Linked DNA regions of Mus musculus. The protein of the gene in region 3 binds, or shares a complex with, the protein of the main gene of each other region. Links are inferred from orthologs where the notes say so. Each region holds a gene or a part of one and is shown on either strand. Other genes may lie near its edges.

The links.
Region 1: Kat5 (region 3) and Ing3 share a complex: the UniProt entries of both Homo sapiens proteins name them as parts of the SWR1-like complex. The link is inferred for Mus musculus from reciprocal best matches to the Homo sapiens genes KAT5 and ING3.
Region 2: Kat5 (region 3) and Morf4l2 share a complex: the UniProt entries of both Homo sapiens proteins name them as parts of the nuA4 histone acetyltransferase complex. The link is inferred for Mus musculus from reciprocal best matches to the Homo sapiens genes KAT5 and MORF4L2.

Annotation. Positions count from the first base shown.
Region 1 is NC_000072.6:21,966,559-21,970,209, reverse strand, and holds part of Ing3 (inhibitor of growth protein 3), read right to left. Parts: intron 2,584-3,651; coding exon 2,512-2,583; intron 1,326-2,511; coding exon 1,206-1,325; intron 933-1,205; coding exon 775-932; intron 297-774; coding exon 103-296; intron 1-102. UniProt on the Homo sapiens protein: Component of the NuA4 histone acetyltransferase (HAT) complex which is involved in transcriptional activation of select genes principally by acetylation of nucleosomal histones H4 and H2A.
Region 2 is NC_000086.7:136,732,386-136,735,492, forward strand, and holds the end of Morf4l2 (mortality factor 4-like protein 2), read right to left. Parts: intron 2,117-3,107; 5' UTR 2,093-2,116; coding exon 1,226-2,092; 3' UTR 557-1,225; downstream 1-556. UniProt on the Homo sapiens protein: Component of the NuA4 histone acetyltransferase complex which is involved in transcriptional activation of select genes principally by acetylation of nucleosomal histone H4 and H2A.
Region 3 is NC_000085.6:5,607,199-5,610,949, reverse strand, and holds the start of Kat5 (histone acetyltransferase KAT5), read left to right. Parts: upstream 1-855; 5' UTR 856-920; coding exon 921-932; coding exon of another isoform or gene 933-1,031; coding exon 1,032-1,098; intron 1,099-1,205; exon of another isoform or gene 1,206-1,418; coding exon 1,419-1,487; intron 1,488-1,577; coding exon 1,578-1,714; intron 1,715-1,965; coding exon of another isoform or gene 1,966-1,992; coding exon 1,993-2,148; intron 2,149-2,237; coding exon 2,238-2,312; intron 2,313-2,620; coding exon 2,621-2,695; intron 2,696-2,985; coding exon 2,986-3,234; intron 3,235-3,309; coding exon 3,310-3,399; intron 3,400-3,751. UniProt on the Homo sapiens protein: Catalytic subunit of the NuA4 histone acetyltransferase complex, a multiprotein complex involved in transcriptional activation of select genes principally by acetylation of nucleosomal histones H2A and H4.

The DNA.
Region 1 (3,651 bases), on a different chromosome or scaffold from region 3:
CCTGGATCACTGTACCCTGCTGTGGTTAATCCCTGGAGATGTATGGATACAGCTCCACACAACAACCCTGAACAAAGACACACACTGCCATGGGAAACTTACTTGCTCTTCCTGCCACTCCGCGAGTCCGTGGCGGAGGAACTGGCATTCTGGGTTAAGGTTGTCATGAGTGCCGATGAGGAGGAGTAGCCAGCTGTTTCTCTGGGTATGGAAAATTCTTTTCCCAGCTGGAAGTCATTGTTCTTAAATGCTTCGTAACTGGCTTTTAAACTCGATGTTCTTCGCCCTTCTTTCATCTTAAGTAGACATGTATTGACAACATCAATATATGTAAATATGTATTTTCTCTTTAAGTGTTACACGTTATGGTTATTTAAGTCATGGAAAAATTCAGAGTCTTTTTCATGCTAAGCTGAGAATAAACATGGGAAATAGAATGTCTTAACTCACACTATGTGCAAACCACAGAAATGAGCTAACTGCAGCCAACACAGATAAAAGCCCAATGGTACAGAAAGAGCAGATATTGTCCTCATGATGACAGGAAGGTAACTTGTGCACTAACTGGGAAAAGGGTCAACGTGATGGCATGATGCGTCACTCTATACCCAATAACTTCTCTGCATTATTACTAAAACACCAACTAGCCTAAAAGGGCAACTTCAAGCTCAAACTATATGATGTCTGAAAGCTCTGCTAACACCTAGTGGCTCCTACTGAGGTTTGCCAGTGACGGGAACCAATGTAGCACTTGCCTCTACCCACGACTATTACCTGTGCTGTCGCTTGCACGGCCTGTGCTGCCGCCATGGTGATGGCCCCTGCGCCAGCCCCTGAAGATAATGAACCAATGTTATAGGAGGCCAGGGGCTGGGACGAGTTCACATTGTAAGCATTGTTGCAGGAAGCTGTGGAATTATTGTTCCGACAACCTGTAAAGAAGAAAAAAAAATGGTTGCAGAGTACATAAGGTTTCTGAGATTGAAATAAATTATTTCCCCATATATAAAATTAAATTTAAATTCTTCATATACTTTAGGGATTGAATCAACTGGAAAATACAAGGCAATTTTCCTTTTCCTTCTTATCATCATGTAGACTTCAGAGGTAGCACATGTGTGGATTATAATCTTGAGCGCTCCTCTATCCCTTACTCCAACATAAACAAAACAAGCAAATTACCACTTTCGAGAAACGAAACTCACCCAGCGTGTTCTCCTTGGAAGCGTCAGATGTAAGGGTGGACAGCAGCGCTTCAGATTTGAATTTCTTCTCAGGGATATGGTCTGCTGCTGCATGGTGAGAAGTTGGATTATATTTCCTTTCTGAATAAAAAGAAAATTCACAAATTTCAAACTTCAGGGGACTACAGAGAGGAATACTTCCACCCCTTTATAAATCAGTACAGTTATGATCTCGGTTCCTTGTGAAATGGACCATTATGCTCACCAAGGAGGGGACAAGCAAACAGTCTTTGTCACGTGGTTCATGGAGAGAACAGACATTTCAAGCACTTTAGAAACTAGGAGCAAAAAACTAAAGACAATCCACGATGTACTACGGTTTCACATTATCACGAGAGAAAGTCCATCATAATATACTGCCTACCATTTAGAATAGCTTCCAATTTACCTCTCTTTCCTATTGAATTGACTTGTCAAAAAAATGTAGCAACCAATAATCCCCTTTCACTAACTCACTAATAACAAGATTTTATCACATGATAAATATCAGCTAAGCACTGGAAGGCAAGGCTGAAAGAAATGGGCCTACATGAAGAAGTGTATAGTTGGGTCAGTCGTACCACTCCCTAGATCTGTTTTATATCTGTTTCTGCGCTGATAGAACAGACTTCCTGTTCCCAAATTAAATATATGTTGCTTAAATGGAAAAGTCTACACGTAAACTGTGATAAAAAGCCTATTGTTTTTCTTTTTTCTTTTATTAGGTATTTTCTTTATATACATTTCAAATACTATCCCGAAAATTCCCTATACCCTTCCCCCACCCTGCTCCCCTACCCACCCACCCCGATTCTTGGCCCTGGCGTTCCCCTGTACTGGGGCATATAAAGTTTGCAAGACCAAGGGGCCTCTCTTCCCAATGATGGCTGACTAGGCCATCTTTTGATACATATGCAGCTAGAGACACGAGCTCTGGGGGTACTTGTTAGTTCATAATGTTGTTCCACCTATAGGGTTGCAGGCCCCTCCAGCTCCTTGGGTGCTTTCTCTAGCTTCTCCATTGGGGGCCCTGTGTTCCATCTTATAGATGACTATGAGCATCCACTTCTGTATTTACCAGGCACTGGCATAGCCTCATACGAGTCAGCTACACCAGGGTCCCTTCAGTAAAATCTTGCTGGCATATGCAATAGTGTCTGGGTTTGGAAAAAGCCGATTTTTTAAAAAGGGAAAGGAAAGGACGTTTCTCATTTGCTTATGTAGAGCTAATAAAAGAGCACATACAGGTGACATGTACGGTGCTAAACTGTACTTGAGCCAGACTTACTTTCCACGGGAGTATGTGAATGAGCGTGGTGATTGTTCACTGGCTGCGAAGGAGCATCTAATTCCAAAGATCCTAGAGAGGGGACACAGAGACAATCCAGGATTAAACGTCACTATAGAATCTCCACTTAAACCAACCCCCAACAAGATGGCCCTCACATATGACTGCCAACCTCTGGCATATCACTTTAGACAGACATGTAGAGAGTTACTATCTTCAATTGCATCCTGAGCAGTCCTCTCTCTAAGGAGGAAGACTCACTTCTCAGTATTCACCGTAAGTACACAACAGCTCAAGATATGCTAATATCTAATTAGAGAATCTTTCATGCTGAGTGTCACACAAATAGAAAAAAGGACATTACAACTCTATTAATGGTGAGATCTAAAAAATTCAATCTAGTAACAAAATTGAAAGCCTTTTAATACGTTATCCTAAAGGTCTAGGTGATGGGGATATTACTGCATACAAAGAAATTCAATCACAAAAATTAACTGCAATACTGACAGTTCCAAAAAAGAGCTTAGGGCTTTGCTTGCAAACAGTAAAGGGCATAACCCCCAATCCCAAGCTTTAAAACACTTCTGAAGAAATTCTCTCAACTTATTAAAGATTCGTTGAGATACAGTGATGTCAGGGCAGGATGAACAGTTTGTATGTGACCCCGTTCCGTTTCCTGTGTCTGGGTCCTTAGTGGTTGTGTCATTAACTCCCTGAAGCAGTGAGGAGGCAGGCAAGGCTTACTCACAGCCACCAACAGCATTTCCAAAAGAAAGAAACCTTCAAAGGTAGTCATACAACATTTCATTTTGTTCCCCAGTATCTATTATCCTCAGATAGGTTTCCTCCGGAATAAAAGTATCACCAATAAAGAAGATAATTATGTGAAGCAAGGATCTACTTTTAAATTTAAAATTGCAATCCTTACTAACAGACACACGCCTGGCTTGTCCAGTTGACCTCACACGCCCCTGTAAACACAGCTTAGGTACCCTGTAGTCATGAAACCCACTACCTGGCAATAGAAACGAACTGGCTGGTGAATGTACCAAGGAATGAGCACTGTTGGACCCTAACTGGACTGTCATAGAAATCACCCTGAGGACTAACTTGGTTCCCTTACCACTCAGTGACTACCTC
Region 2 (3,107 bases), on a different chromosome or scaffold from region 3:
ACACGTATATTTCTGATAGAAGTTAACACATACCCCATGTTTCCTCTGCTAAGAATTAAAGCTTTGGGGCTAGGACCTGGGCATAGCTCATAAAAGAATGGCAAGAAGGGGCAATTAAGAGTACTTATCCTGGTGTAGAGGTCAGAACCACAGAAGTAGAGAACATCACTAACAAACCAGGCTGCTCCAAGTGTCACGTGTAAGCAATCTGCCCAGAGAAGCCACACCAAAGAGGGAAAATAACTTGACCTTAACTGCTACAGCAAGAATCTTTTAAAAAAGCTTTTGACTTTTAACTATGTGTCTGTGTGGTGGCATATACATGTCCACAGAATTACCTGAGATGGCCAGAAGGCACCAGATCCCCTAGAGCTGGAGTTACAGGTGCTTGTGAGTTACCAGAAACAAACTTGGGTCCTCTGAAACAGAACAGGCTGAGCAGTCTCTCCGGTCCAAGAAAGGAATTTTTCCTTTGAAAGCCAGTTTTCTTCTGTGCCACCCAAATACCTCGACCCTGTATTTGCTAGTCTCAGGAACATAAAAAGAACACCACACATTTTTTTTTTTGCTTTGAAATTTAGAAACAAGTTTTATTTAAGATCTGAAATACAATTCCTAAAATATCAACTTTTCAGAAAACTGTGGCTACACAATAATGCATTGCCTCTATCATGTTAGAACGTGCATTAGACTCAAATACAAAAACCAGGAAACAAATCACCATCCTTCAACAATTTGAGCAAAGATAGAATGAATGCCTAAGGAACAACAAAGATGGACTTGCAGAGGATGGGCTGTTTACAGACGTCAAGCACCATAAAAAAAAAAAAAGCACAAATGCATGGGTTTCCAGGTATATACATTAAGTTGAACCTTTGGCACTAGGAACCAGGGCATCTCATCACGTAGCATTAACACATATTAGAAAACTGTGTAGTGTCAAAGGGATAGAACCACCAGCATTCAAGCAATGTTGTCAACTAGGCAATAAAATGGTCTACTGAATTTCTTCTTTGTCTAATTACTGCATACACTGGTAGCAACTTTGAAATGAGGAAAGGAGCTGGGCACTCCTTTTATTTTCTGTCTACAACAGAACAGGAAAACAAACTGAAACATAAGCCCTGTTTTACACTGACAGTTTTAAAGAACATCAATTATACCATGAAAGGACTAAACAGAAGTGTTTACAGATACCAGACAATAGTGAGCGGTCAGTAGACCTTCACAGGGCTTTGCGATGATAGTCAGCAGAAGCCACTTTGTAATCACTGGCAGTAAACAGAGAGGCAGAATTCTTTGCCAGATACTTAAGGAAATCATGCAGATAGCCCAGCAATAATGCCAGGCTTTTCTCATCAAGGGGCGTATAGGCCAACATTGCCCCAATTCTCACGAATAATCTCAGGAGGTGTGGCGCCCCATAGATCTGCGACATCGGCGCATCAGGGTGAGCCAGCAGAATCTCAGCATACTGAGGCCTTTCAAACTTGTACAGCAGCTGAGTGCCCAGCATCACATTGAAATACTCTTTTATCCCTCCTACAACTTCATTAACTGCGTACTCCTTATTATCAACATTTCCCTGCGACTTCTTACAATTGGCATACTCCTCAAGAATGGCATCGACATTCTTTTTAGCAGGGAGCTGGAACAACTGCTTCTGCCTCGTAACCAAGTCCCAGTCCTCCACCAGCCACGGTTTTAATTCTTCAGGGATCTTCACCTTCACCTCCATCCTACTCTTGAATGCCTCCTCGCTCTCCACAGTGGGGTCAGCCCGTGCCCTTTTCTTCCGAGGGGGCTGGGGGACTTCACTGGTACTGCCTCCGTCTCCGTTGCCAGGAGCCTTCTGCTTGTTCTTCCTGGTCTTCCGCACAGAACCGGAAGGGGGGTTCTCAGCAGAGCGACCTCCCCATCTTCCGGGCAGGGCTGGATCGAGATTCTTTGGCTGCGAACCAGCTGACTTCTTTCCCGAGGCAGCTCCTCTCATCTTACTTCTCTGCATATTGCTTCGAGTTGGTTTCTTAAAGTTGTCTTCTTCAGCAGATTGTTGTCCACGAGTTTGAGAAGCCTGCTTTCTGGAACTCATTCAACCCTGTTTTTATTCCAACCACTGTAATACATAAAGTATTGTATTTGGTTGTTTACTATGGTGACTTAATGACCCATCAGACCACAACACATGCTAAAGTCTGTTGGAATATATATAGATTTTGGGTCCTATTGCAGAGGACCATCTGTAAGTGCTTTTCTGTCTTCTATCTCAAAATCCTCACTCCCACCCACAACTCTTGCCTCACCTAACAACTCAACAGACACACCCACAAATTCGTCTCTTGATGCTATTTAAAAGATAAGGATTTATTTTTAGAGAAAGATACTGTGACAAAACCATAGAAAAAAGCAGAGATGAAATCAAGACTTTGGAACAAGACTAAGAATTTGAAAGATATTTAAAAAAAAAGAATTTGAAAGAAATAAGGAAGTTGGAGGTAAAGTCTAGGTAGGCCTTGAGTACTGTGATGGCAACATACACAGACCTAACACCGAGGAACACAATGATCAAAGGTTAGAGTCAAAATGGGTTCTGTATGACTAAGCCCGGGTAGTTTTAGTAAAGTACAGAGTTTTAAAGAATTCGTTTGACACCATCAGTAAACAAGGCTAGTCCATCGATAGTTACATGCATAAAGGATCTCTTTTAGTAACTATTTGCTAGAAGAGATGAGAAACTGGGAAAGGAGTTAGTGACAACTTTCAGGCTTTAAGGATGGATGCTCTTGTATCACAAGTAAACTGCTTAGAGGAGAAAGGTACTTAGTTTTGGACTTTTATATCTGGAGAGTGCACTCAAACAGAGAAATGGAGATTTATTATCATGTAGCTTGAAGCATACACTATAAACCAGTGAACGTTTAAATAAAGAGAGAGAATTGCATACATAGAACTCCAGAAAAGATAGGGAAGAAAGTATTTGAGGAGTTAGCAAGAAAGAGACCACAGGTAAAATGGTGAGACTTTCATCGGAGAGTTAAGATTGTGACTTTAGAAGATAAAGAGGTTGAGTTTCAAGAGAAATAATGGTCAGTGAAAAGGAATTAAAA
Region 3 (3,751 bases):
ATTCACATCTTTGAGGAGGGAGAACACACCTTTGTTATTCAAACCTATTCTTGTTATTCAAAGTCAGAAGATGCACCTTCTGCTGGAAACTAAAAGAAAGACATGAAACAAGATTTTCCTCCCTGCCACCCCCAGGACAGGGCTTATCTGTGTAACCCCGCTTGTCCTGGAACTGACTCTGTAGACAACGCTGGCCTCAACTCATAGAGCTTCGCCTGCTTCTGCCTCCACTGCCAGCCTGCTTTTACTCTGCCTACTTGCTCTCACTCTCGTTGACAAGTCCGCTCCTTCACTGTCATTAGCGCCTACTTCTTTGGGATTCTGATGTATAATGAAGACCAACTGAGACATCCATTCTTGTTGACTGAATGCCTACTGGAATTTTGAACCTTCCATGTATACAGCCACATATATACTATTTTAAAAATAGAAATCCAGTATTAACGGAAAAATCTTGCTAAGCCCCCAGGCCTGTGCAATCTTATGCAGACACCTGGGTGGATCTCTAAATCCCTTCAGGTCTACTGACTCCCCAGGGTTCAAAACCCCACTCCTTAGCTTCTTACTCAGGGTGACACCTCACACTGCCACTAAGAGGCTCGCCAGAACACTGCCTCTAGACAAAGCCTAAACATGATCTGAGTGACCGGCGTCGCACCCGGTGGGCGTCACGTGACAGACTCGGCGTTCCTCCAATCGCTGTGCGAGGAGCGGGGATTCCATCTAGTACTTGGCCTCAGGTTTACAACGTCCTGCTCTTCCATTCCCCAAACGGGCCGGCTTTTTGCTACCAACCAGCTAGCAGTGATTCTCAAGTGTTTCCCTTTCAAACAGCTTCAAGGGGCTCGGGCCTATAGCGCACTCAGCTCCGGAAGTGACGTCTCCCAGAGGGGCCGGAAGTGGCAGTGGAGGGAGGGAAGATGGCGGAGGTGGTGAGTCCGGTGCCCGGGGCGGGGCGGAGGGAGCCAGGGGAGGTGGGTAGAGCCCGAGGCCCCCCAGTAGCCGACCCTGGCGCCGCGCTGTCTCCCCAGGGGGAGATAATCGAGGGCTGCCGCCTGCCCGTGCTGCGGCGCAACCAGGACAACGAAGATGAGTGGCGTGAGTGACGTCGGGGGGCGGGTCCAAGGAACCTGAGGGCGAGGGGCGGGAGGGAGTCAACGATCGCACGGGAGGGGGAGGGGCTTCTGCAATCCCGGGGCGGTCGCAGATACTCGGGAGGAGGGGCGTGGCTTTTGGACGTACGGAGATGATCCGGGCGGGGCTTGGAGAGAGGTGTCACTTGGTGACTAAAGGGGTCTTGAACCAGCCCCTCTGAGTGCTGGGACACAGGCCTCCAGCCTGGAGGTGGGATTCAGGTCGAAGGGTGGAGTCTCCTGACCTGCCCTGGCTAAGACTCCCTGTCTGTGTGGTTCTCATAGCCCTGGCTGAGATCCTGAGCGTGAAGGACATCAGTGGCCGAAAGCTTTTCTATGTCCATTACATTGACTGTGAGTCCTGGGCCTGGATGGAGTGGGGTTGCTGGAGAGGGTTGAGGGCAGCCTCTGGCATTCCCTCCTGAGCCGTTTTCACTGCTGCAGTCAACAAACGTCTGGATGAATGGGTGACTCACGAGCGGCTGGACTTAAAGAAGATCCAATTTCCCAAGAAAGAGGCCAAGACACCTACCAAGAACGGACTTCCTGGGTCCCGCCCCGGCTCTCCCGAAAGAGAGGTGGTGAGTAGGTCCCCCATTTCATCTTTTCTCTCCTGCCTCTTCCTTCTTGCATCTCTTGGCCTCAGGGGTTCCTGAATGGGCAGGAGGCAGCATTCTTCTGCCATGGCTTCAGCTTGCAAAGGATGGGGACCAAGTTGCAGGCGTAGCTTCCAGAGTCCAGCACTGCCTTGCTTTAGAGAAGGCAGAGGGTGGGATTCCATGCTGAGGGGCCCATCCCCCCCTTCGCCATCCCACCACCATCCCCACCCCAGAGGAAGACCCTGGACCTATCTCTGCAGCCGGCCTCCGCCCAGGCCAGCGGGAAGACCTTGCCAATCCCGGTCCAGATCACACTCCGCTTCAACCTGCCCAAGGAGCGGGAGGCCATCCCAGGTGGCGAGCCTGACCAGCCGCTCTCCTCCAGCTCCTGCCTGCAACCCAACCACCGCTCAACGGTACCCTCAGCAATTCCAGGGACCTTGCTTTCTTCTCAGGTCCCACCTTCTCTACCTTCTGACCCACCTTTCCTGGTTTCTCTCTGCAGAAACGGAAGGTGGAGGTGGTTTCACCAGCAACCCCAGTGCCCAGCGAGACAGCCCCAGCCTCGGTTTTCCCTCAGGTGAGTCTTCCAGTCTTTTTTCATGTGTCTGAATGTTTTGTCTGTGTTTTGCATGTGTTCTACTTGCATGCCTGGTGCAGGTGGGCAGAAGAGGGCATTGGAGCCACTGAAACTGGAGTTAGAGATGGTTGTGAGCCACTCTGTGGGTCCTGGGAAAAGAACCCAGGAAGTCCTCTGGAAGATCAGGGCTCTTAACCACTGAGCCATCCCAACAGCCTGCCTGGTCTTTCCCCTCTTATTCCTTGCTGTCTAGCATCCTCCTCCAGGATCATCTCACGGTCGCTCTTTCTCTTGTGTCTTGTCCACAGAATGGGTCAGCCCGTAGGGCAGTGGCAGCCCAGCCTGGACGGAAGCGGAAATCTAATTGCTTGGGCACTGATGAGGTGGGTCTTGAGGAGCAGAGGGAGAGGGAAGCCGGGAAAGGGGGAGTGGGCTTGGGCATGGTGTTCACTCGGTGAGGCCTTAGGCAGGGAGGGTGGTGGCTGGGAGCCAAGCAGATGAACCCCTGGGCCTCTTCTACTCTCAGTTTCTCAGCCTCGCTTTATTTTGGAAGTGGAGGTTGGTGCTTTGCCCTTAGCTGATGTTAGACTTGCAGGAAGAAGCCAATGGCAGTGTCGTGCGCCACGCTCTGCTTAACTGCTACCATCTAGTATTTGCCATCTGCCTTGGGCAGGATTCTCAGGACAGCTCAGATGGAATACCGTCAGCACCACGAATGACTGGCAGTCTGGTGTCTGACCGGAGCCACGACGACATTGTCACCCGGATGAAGAACATTGAGTGTATTGAGCTTGGCCGGCACCGCCTCAAGCCGTGGTACTTCTCCCCGTACCCACAAGAGCTTACCACGCTACCCGTCCTCTACCTGTGCGAATTTTGCCTCAAATATGGCCGTAGCCTCAAGTGTCTGCAACGCCACTTGGTATGAGGGGTCTTGGGAGGCTGCCTATCCAGAGTACCCTCACCAGTCCCCACCTGATCCTCCTTTTGTCCTTAGACCAAATGTGATCTTCGGCACCCTCCAGGCAATGAAATTTACCGCAAGGGCACCATCTCCTTTTTTGAGATTGATGGACGGAAAAACAAGGTTAGTGGCTTGGGCACGGCTGGGCTGGAGTGAGTCACATGAACAACCTTTTCCTGCTCAGAACAGTTGACCATTCTGCCTATGAGCAGGTCACTGTTTTTATTGAATTCTTGACACGGAGCAGGGAATGTACAGAAAACTGGGATTTAGAGAAATTTTCTTTCCTGAGAGGTCACTGTCACGGCAGAGCAGACATGACAGCTACTCAGGTTCCAGTAACAGAGGGGGTTCAGCACAGTTCACAGGAAGCTGTCATCAGAGCTTGGAGGTGTGTGTGCCTATAATCCCAGCACTCAGAAAACTCCCGAGTTCAAGAGTAGTCAGGGGACTAATGAGTTGCAAGCCAACCTGA